2 linked regions of the Coturnix japonica genome follow. The protein of the gene in region 1 interacts with the protein of each later gene in a pairwise test. Links are inferred from orthologs where the notes say so. Each region holds a gene or a part of one and is shown on either strand. Other genes may lie near its edges.

Region 1 (3,817 bases):
ACTGAATCCATTTATATAAAAGCAGTTGTTGCTTCTAAACAAAAATATGCTAATCATCCTTTGAATTGACGAGTGGATTAATATTAGACAATGTTAATTTACAGGAAGTATTTTACCTGACTTACACTCCAGAAGATGTTGAAGGAAATATTCAGCTGGAAACAGGAGATAAAATAAACTTTGTAATTGATACGAATAAACAGTAAGTTGATATCATGTTTCTCTTTCAGTGGTCGGGCAGCACTTTGTGCCTTTTCCAAGAACTGAAATAACATGAAGTATAATCTTAATATTGCCTCTGGTTTTCAGACATTTCAGCTTTGTTCTTTTTTTCCCTTTAGTACTGGTGCTGTAAGTGCTCGTAACATTATGCTATTAAAAAAGAAGCAAGCCCGTTGTCAAGGAGTTGTCTGTGCCATGAAAGTAAGTGATGTTTCAGCTTCAAAATATTAAAAGATGAAATTCTTTGCTGTCAAGTTCTCTAAATAGTAAATTCAGTGCATTAAGAACTATTAACATTTTGGATGTGTGAATGTAAACCAGGTCAAGCAGTTTAAACAGCTAATCTTGAGTACACACACTCCTTGAAAACAGGATAGGTGGGATTGTTTCCTGTAATGTATTTGCTATAGTATGAGCTGAATGCACTCAAGTTTGCTGTACTGAAGCGGTGTTGTCTTACTGTTAGAATGTGTAAAATGTTTTCTTAATAATACACTGAGACATTGGGCAATCTACTGAACACTTTCTTCTGTTCTTAGGAAGCCTTTGGATTTATTGAGAGGGGTGATGTCGTGAAGGAGATATTCTTTCACTATAGTGAATTTAAAGGTGACCTAGAAGCCTTACAGCCTGGTGATGATGTGGAGTTTACAATCAAAGACAGAAATGTAAGATGAACTCCAGTTAAAACTGAAGACAAGATCCTGGACAGCTGCCTGTTTATTCAGATTCACCTTAAAAAAAGGGGAGGGTGGGGGGGCAGGGTTCATAGGAAAGTGATCTTATTGTTTTGTCACTTCTTTAGGGACATTTGACTGACTTTGTGCTTTTAGGGTAAAGAAGTTGCAACAGATGTAAGACTGCTGCCACAAGGAACTGTCATTTTTGAAGATATCAGCATAGAACACTTTGAAGGAACTGTAACCAAAGTAATTCCAAAAGTACCCAGCAAAAACCAGGTGTGTTTCAGTATTAAATTTAAGGGAAATGCTGCATTGATTTCCAGTCATAGTACAAATGTTCCCCTTTGTCTGTGGTAGTCTGCTGTTAAGTATCACATTAGAGATCACTGCAGAGTAATTTTGGACTGCTTAACTTGTACCAACCGTTGACAGCAGTCACAGCAAGCAGGGTTTTTTCCACTAAAATTTAAAGGACCAGGAAATAGGGTAATACACAGCAGTAAGGCCTCTCAGAAGCGTGGCAAATGTGGTTATGAGCTTAATTCTCAACATAAATTTTTAGTTATGTTGTCAGTTTGGTTCATCTGATAAGTAAGTTAAATTCTAGTCGTGACAGTGTGATCTAGAAGTGGTCACTCAAACATGATGCCTTCCTAACCTAAATAGGGGCTCAATAAAGCTTTGTGTGCTGAGACTTGTAGGTGTACTAACTTTTTCTGTTGCGTTTTTCTGTCTTCTAGAATGATCCATTACCTGGCCGCATCAAAGTTGATTTTGTGATTCCTAAAGAACTTCCATTTGGAGACAAAGATACAAAATCCAAGGTGACTTTGCTGGAAAGTGACCACGTTCGATTCAATATTTCGACAGACAGACGTGACAAACTGGAACGAGCCACCAATATTGAGGTTCTCCCCAATACTTTCCAGTTTACTAATGAAACTAGGGAAATGGTGAGTATCTGTAACAGTGTAAAAATTGCCAGTGTCTGTTGCCTTGGAGTGGATTGCTCTTTGGTTATAGCAGGAAGAGCAGTCATGCAGCCATGAACAAATTAAAAGCTCATTTTCCTTAGCAAAACTGGTAGAACCTGATGCTGCTCTGGTTCAGGCAATGGAAAGTCTTAAGAATCAGAGGAGGTACTAAATACAGCTTTTGAATCTTGATCTTCTGTGTTCTTTGTACAATCTCTGCCTGAGGATCAGACAGAAGGGTGATAAAGAGCTGAATTCTGTGATGTGCAGAGAAGCTCTTAATGGGTCACAGTGACTGAGATAGTTGTGCTTATCATTATGAAAGAACATCTTTTGTTCTGGTAAAAGTGCTAGAAGACCTAACCTGTGTGTGTGTTTATAGCAGTAACTTTCAGTTCTTTGGCTATCTGTTGTCCTTTTGTGACTTAAATTCATCTTTTTCACTTCTTACTACTTATGAATCAGGGAGAAAGTAGAAAAAAACTAGTTAAATAGGGTTTGCTTGCATTTTAGGTTGCCTGTAACCATTTGCACTACAGTTTGTAAAGAAGTTTATTGAGTAGTTTGTTTTTAGAATTTGAGGTTTGTGTTCATCGTTGTCTTTTTACAGACAAATGTCAACATAGTAAAACTGTAATTGTCCTTCTATTTACAGGGTGTGATTGCAGCGATGAGAGATGGCTTTGGCTTCATTAAGTGTGTTGACAGGGATGCTCGCATGTTCTTTCACTTCAGTGAAATTATGGACGGAAACCAACTCCATATTTCTGATGAAGTAGAGTTCACTGTGGTTCCTGTGAGTGGTCCAATTTCTTTGAAAACCAGGATTTCACAGAAGCATTTATATGCAGTTTATCTAAAATCACATTGATCTTATTTTCCAGGATATGCTGTCTGCCCAAAGAAATCATGCTATAAGGATTAAAAAACTTCCAAAAGGCACAGTTTCTTTCCACACCCAATCGGATCACCGTTTTGTGGGCACTATAGACAAAGAAGCCACTCCAGCCAAAGCCACTAGCCCAAATAAAGGCAAAGAGAAGGTAGTACACGAGTAATATATTGCGTTTCTGGCTTTGCAGAGACCACTGCTTTAAAGTCTACATTCTGAAGCACTTTGTGTCTCGTATAAATTTGGATTTATTGGATATAAATATATCCAATAAATATGTTTATTGGATATAAAAATTGGATTTATTGGATATAAATATATATATTGGATATATGGATATAATGGATATAATGGATATAAATAATGGATATAAATAAATATATATATATATAAAATATATAAATAAATAAATAAATAATAAATGGATATAATGGATATAATAATGGATATAAATATATTGGATTGCTAATTACAATATTTAGTGATGGCTAACTTAAGCAAAACAATATAACAAAAACACTGTTGGTGATGTTTCTGTTGAGGATAACTTCCAAGAGCTTAATGGGAAGATTGCTCCTCCTACTTATTTCAGTAAATAATTAATGGAAATAGTATTGTTAGAGAAAAAGTAATAGCACTGTCTGGTGAAAGCTACAGTTTGCCATTTAAAGCTTGTGTCTTTTGATCATCTTAGAGTTTATTGGTCTGTGTTTTTACCAGATACTTTGCAGTTGTTGCAGAACAAGTAAATGTTCAGTGCTTGAATTGTATATACTAAGTTTGTTTGCATGCAAATAAGACACCAATTGCTGAATCCTGATGTCATTTTTATTTTTTATTATTTTTTTTAGGAAGCTGAAGATGGAATAATTGTTTATGATGACTGTGGAGTAAAACTGACCATTCCTTACCAGGCCAAGGATGTGGAAGGATCTGCTAACCCCCAGATAGGAGATAAGGCAATATAACTAAGTGTACCATTGGGAAATACTTTTTGGTTTTTTAAAGATGTGAATGCTTAAGAGGAGAGAGGTTAACATAAAGAC
Region 2 (3,817 bases), on another chromosome or scaffold:
GGCAGCGAGAGTCAAATCCTGCTACTTATTAACGTTCTGAATCAGTCTGACCTCGGGCTTTACTTTTGCACAGTAGCTCCCAGACAGGTGGTCAGAGGTACCTGCAGGGCTGCCTGGCATCACAGGGCTCAGTCTGGTGCTGCATGGATGGCTCTGTGGTCACCGTGCTCTAAATTCTGCCCCATTTCAGTGGAAAGGAGCGCACTGCTGGCTGGAAAAGACTGGTCGGAAATTCGGGCATCGAGTCCTGGGTGAATGATGGTCCCTACACACAAATGTTCTGGGCTGGTCAGCACGGTGGCACGAAGTGAATACTGGAGGATGGTCCTCTAATAGGGGCAGCTGGGAACGGGTGCTGGATATAAGACGTTGGATGTGAAGGTGCAGTGCTGCCTGAGCTGGTGAGGAATTGTATGGAAAGTGACAAGGCGCTGTGTGTGAAAGTGAAGACGATAAAAGCTTTGTGCTGAGGGCGGTAACACACAGGGGAGGCAGCGCTCTGGGAGCTTTTCCTGTTGATAGGAAGTGGTCAGCTCGGCACCGTGTTCTTTCTTCCTATGGCACATCCTGTTTGTTAGGATTGCTTGTGCAGGGCTGTGATTCCCTGCTCACTAACAGGCGAGATGCTTGTAATTCACACGGCTTCCCTTTCTGATTCTTGCAGTGTGTGGATGGTGTGTTTTAGAGCACCTGAAACTCCTAATTTATAACTACTGGGGAAATAAAGTCTGGATGTGCCTGCAGGACTGACTCTGCTTTGTGCAGCCAGTGTGCAGGTGGGAGGTCAGCCTTGTGGAGGTGAACAGAAGGCAAAAATAAAAACCTCCCTTGTCCGCTGTGAGCCATCGCATCCATTTAATGCTGCCTGCTGTGCTCACAGCAGCAGTCAGTGCTGCAGGCAGCTCCTTCCTTCAGTACAGACGTGGTTTCAGCAGCAGGTGATCAGTGAATGGGGCTGTTCCAGGTCGCTGTGCTTCCCTTTCCTGTGTGCTACGCACAGGCTGCTGGGTGAGCTCAGCACAAGGAGGTGGGAGTTTAGGTCTCAGGAGATGCTGTACGCAGAACACAGTCAGCTTTAAAACATCCACCAATGTTCTTGGGAGATGAATGTTACGTGCATCAAATGGCTTTATGATGCCAGACGGTTCATTAGATCAGGGGGGCTGCGGGTGAGTCAGTGCTGCATTGTGCCCTAGGACTGTGCATGGGATGCCATCTGTTGGGTGGGGAGATGACTTAATGCAGCTATTAAAAAGCAAAGAAATGGTGTTTTAGCATAACCTCATTGCCAAGATGGCAGACGTTACTGCTGCTGCAGAATCCAACATTGCAGCTCGGGTGATTGCTGTGTGCTCCTCCATCTCTATGTAATTCTTGTTGGAGACAGTCGTAGCTGTCACGCTGCTGGCTGTGGAGCAGCGCTGTGTTCAGCCTCCAGGGAAGATACAGGCAGGAAAAGGTTCTGTGTACGCTGCAGGGAAATGGTTTTCTCCTTCCCCTCTAGATGAGAGTGAAGCCATTATTGATGCATAATCTCCTGTTAGCAGGAGTTGCTGCTCCCTGCTGCTGGGAGTGGCTGTGGCAGGCAGCCAGCAGGTGCACATGGCAATTAGCCCTGCCGCTGTGGTGCCCGGTTTGGAAGGGGATGTAGGAAGTGGAGGATGTTTCCTGCATTATAGTTGTGTTCCCAAGTACTTGGCTCTTTTTGAGGAGCATAATTAGAGATCTGACTTGCAAATAGCTTTTCTCCTCTCTCCATTTAGGCATTCTGTGCACAGATTGAGAGATAGTGCAGCTCTCTTGCATGCTTAGGAAGCCGAGTTCTGCTGCAAGTCATCTGCAGGCAGCTGGCTGTCCTGCACATCCCGCTGAGGAGCTGCCATCTCCCATCCCTTAGAAAAAGTCTGTCTTCCTTGGAAAAGGGCTCGGTAGGAATTCGGTTTGGTGGCCAGGCGGTAAAATAAAGAGGACTTCAGCATCAGAGCAGAAGATGCTTTAACTCATGGATTCGGTTGTGAGTGGAGAGTAGCTTGGGCTGATTCATTGCATGGCAGAAAGGAGTGGGGTGAGCCATGAGCCTCTCGGCTACAGGAGCACATAGGAGAGCCCGGGGGCAGTAGCTGCTGCACCAGCCTGGCAGCCGCGCTGGCTCCTCTCGCTTGCTGCCCTCCGGTGGTGGTGACGCATCACATTCTGCGGGTTCAGGTGATGTGTTGTGGCTCTGCGGAAGACATGGAATGTCCAAGTCTGATGTGCTTGGTCACATAAATGGTCACCCCCCAATGCTGAGGGAGTGCTCTGTTTGGGAGGTTCCCATCAGCCAAGGCTCTGGTAACTAAAAAAAGTGGAATATAAATCAGTGCTGGTGTTTTATTTATCCTCTATTGTTCTCTGTGGTGATGGTTGCATCCCCAGTCCGGTTGCAGTCACTGATGTTTGGAGCTCACTGGATGCTGGTTCTGCCTCTGTAGCTCTGTCTCTTTGCAGCCTGTGGAAGCAACGGATGATGCCTTCTGGGACCAGTTCTGGGCAGACACAGCCACGTCAGTGCAGGATGTCTTTGCCCTTGTGCCAGCTGCAGAGATCCGAGCAGTGAGAGAGGAATCACCGTCCAACTTGGCAACTCTGTGTTATAAGGTGAGGATGGCGTCGTCCTCCTTGGTGCTGTGCTGTGTATTTGTGGGGAGCACAGCAGCATGGCTGAGAGGTCATCTGCAGTCACAGCTGGAGACTCAGCCTCCATCCCTGCTGTGCAGGGTCATAAATGTGCCTGGAAAAATATTTACGCACAGTCACAGAGTTGTGCGTGGATGGGCTGAGGCTGTACAAACAGCATTTACATATCCATAAGGGCAGTGATGCAGGCGATCGGAGTCAGGAGCCCAGACAGTCTGCTATGAAACTAAGTGGAGAATATGACCCCATGAATTAAAAAGCTGCATGGTGAATCCTTAGTTCTACTTCTGCTGTCAGTGCTGGAGGGAACCTGCAGGTGTTGTGGCTCTCTATCCATGCAACGCTTATGCTGTGTGGGTTACCCTGACATGTAAGATCCCTTGTGGTGAGACAAGAAATTGAAGAAGGTCTGGTTAAGATTGTTTACCTCAGTATTTCTAACAGCAATGGAGGCGGTACCATTGAACTCAGGGAAATGGATTCCTAGCAGTGCTTATAAATCTATGTGAAGATGTCACCAGCAGGTCAGAGCTGTGCAGTTTTGCTCCTGTCCAAGCTAATGCTACCTCTCTTTTATTTCCTGCAGGCTGTGGAGAAGTTGGTGCAGGGAGCAGAGAGTGGCTGCCACACAGAGAAGGAGAGGCAAATCGTCTTGAACTGCAGTCGGCTCCTCACTCGTATCCTGCCTTACATCTTTGAGGACCCGGACTGGAGAGGTTTCTTCTGGTCAACTGTCCCTGGGGCTGGCCGAGGAGGGGTCTGTCTCTTGGCACTTATTCTCCTTTCTGGAGGGTGAGCGGGAGGAAGCAAGGAAGCGTTTGAGGACAGCTGCACTGTTGTTATTTCTGTTTATGCAGAAACTAGGTGGCATCTTCTAAGTCAGTTTCTTTTCTTTGATTCTTGGTGCTCTCGCCCTCAGCTGCTCTGCTTAGCACAGGTCTCTGCGTCACCTGAGGTTTTCACTTGGGTGTGTATCTGTAGGAGAGAGCTGGTATGTGAGGGAAGGCTTTTCCAGTATGGAAAGTATGAACTGAAATCAGTGTGGAAAGGATCAGGGTAACATGCTTTAGTGTGTTCTGCAAATGAGAGAAATACCGCTGAAAGCATAACTGAGGTAGGCAAGGAATACATGTTTACCTGC

Evidence for each region.
Region 2: the proteins of CSDE1 (region 1) and HID1 interact in binary tests that used the Homo sapiens proteins (3 or more experiments, as listed by UniProt). The two-hybrid records come from large-scale screens. The link is inferred for Coturnix japonica from reciprocal best matches to the Homo sapiens genes CSDE1 and HID1.

What each region holds. Positions count from the first base shown.
Region 1 is NC_029541.1:3,912,420-3,916,236, reverse strand, and holds part of CSDE1 (cold shock domain-containing protein E1), read left to right. Parts: intron 1-104; coding exon 105-202; intron 203-341; coding exon 342-423; intron 424-761; coding exon 762-890; intron 891-1,055; coding exon 1,056-1,181; intron 1,182-1,645; coding exon 1,646-1,858; intron 1,859-2,534; coding exon 2,535-2,675; intron 2,676-2,763; coding exon 2,764-2,922; intron 2,923-3,622; coding exon 3,623-3,730; intron 3,731-3,817. UniProt on the Homo sapiens protein: RNA-binding protein involved in translationally coupled mRNA turnover.
Region 2 is NC_029533.1:9,276,325-9,280,141, reverse strand, and holds part of HID1 (protein HID1), read left to right. Parts: intron 1-2,487; coding exon 2,488-2,637; intron 2,638-3,262; coding exon 3,263-3,433; intron 3,434-3,817. UniProt on the Homo sapiens protein: May play an important role in the development of cancers in a broad range of tissues.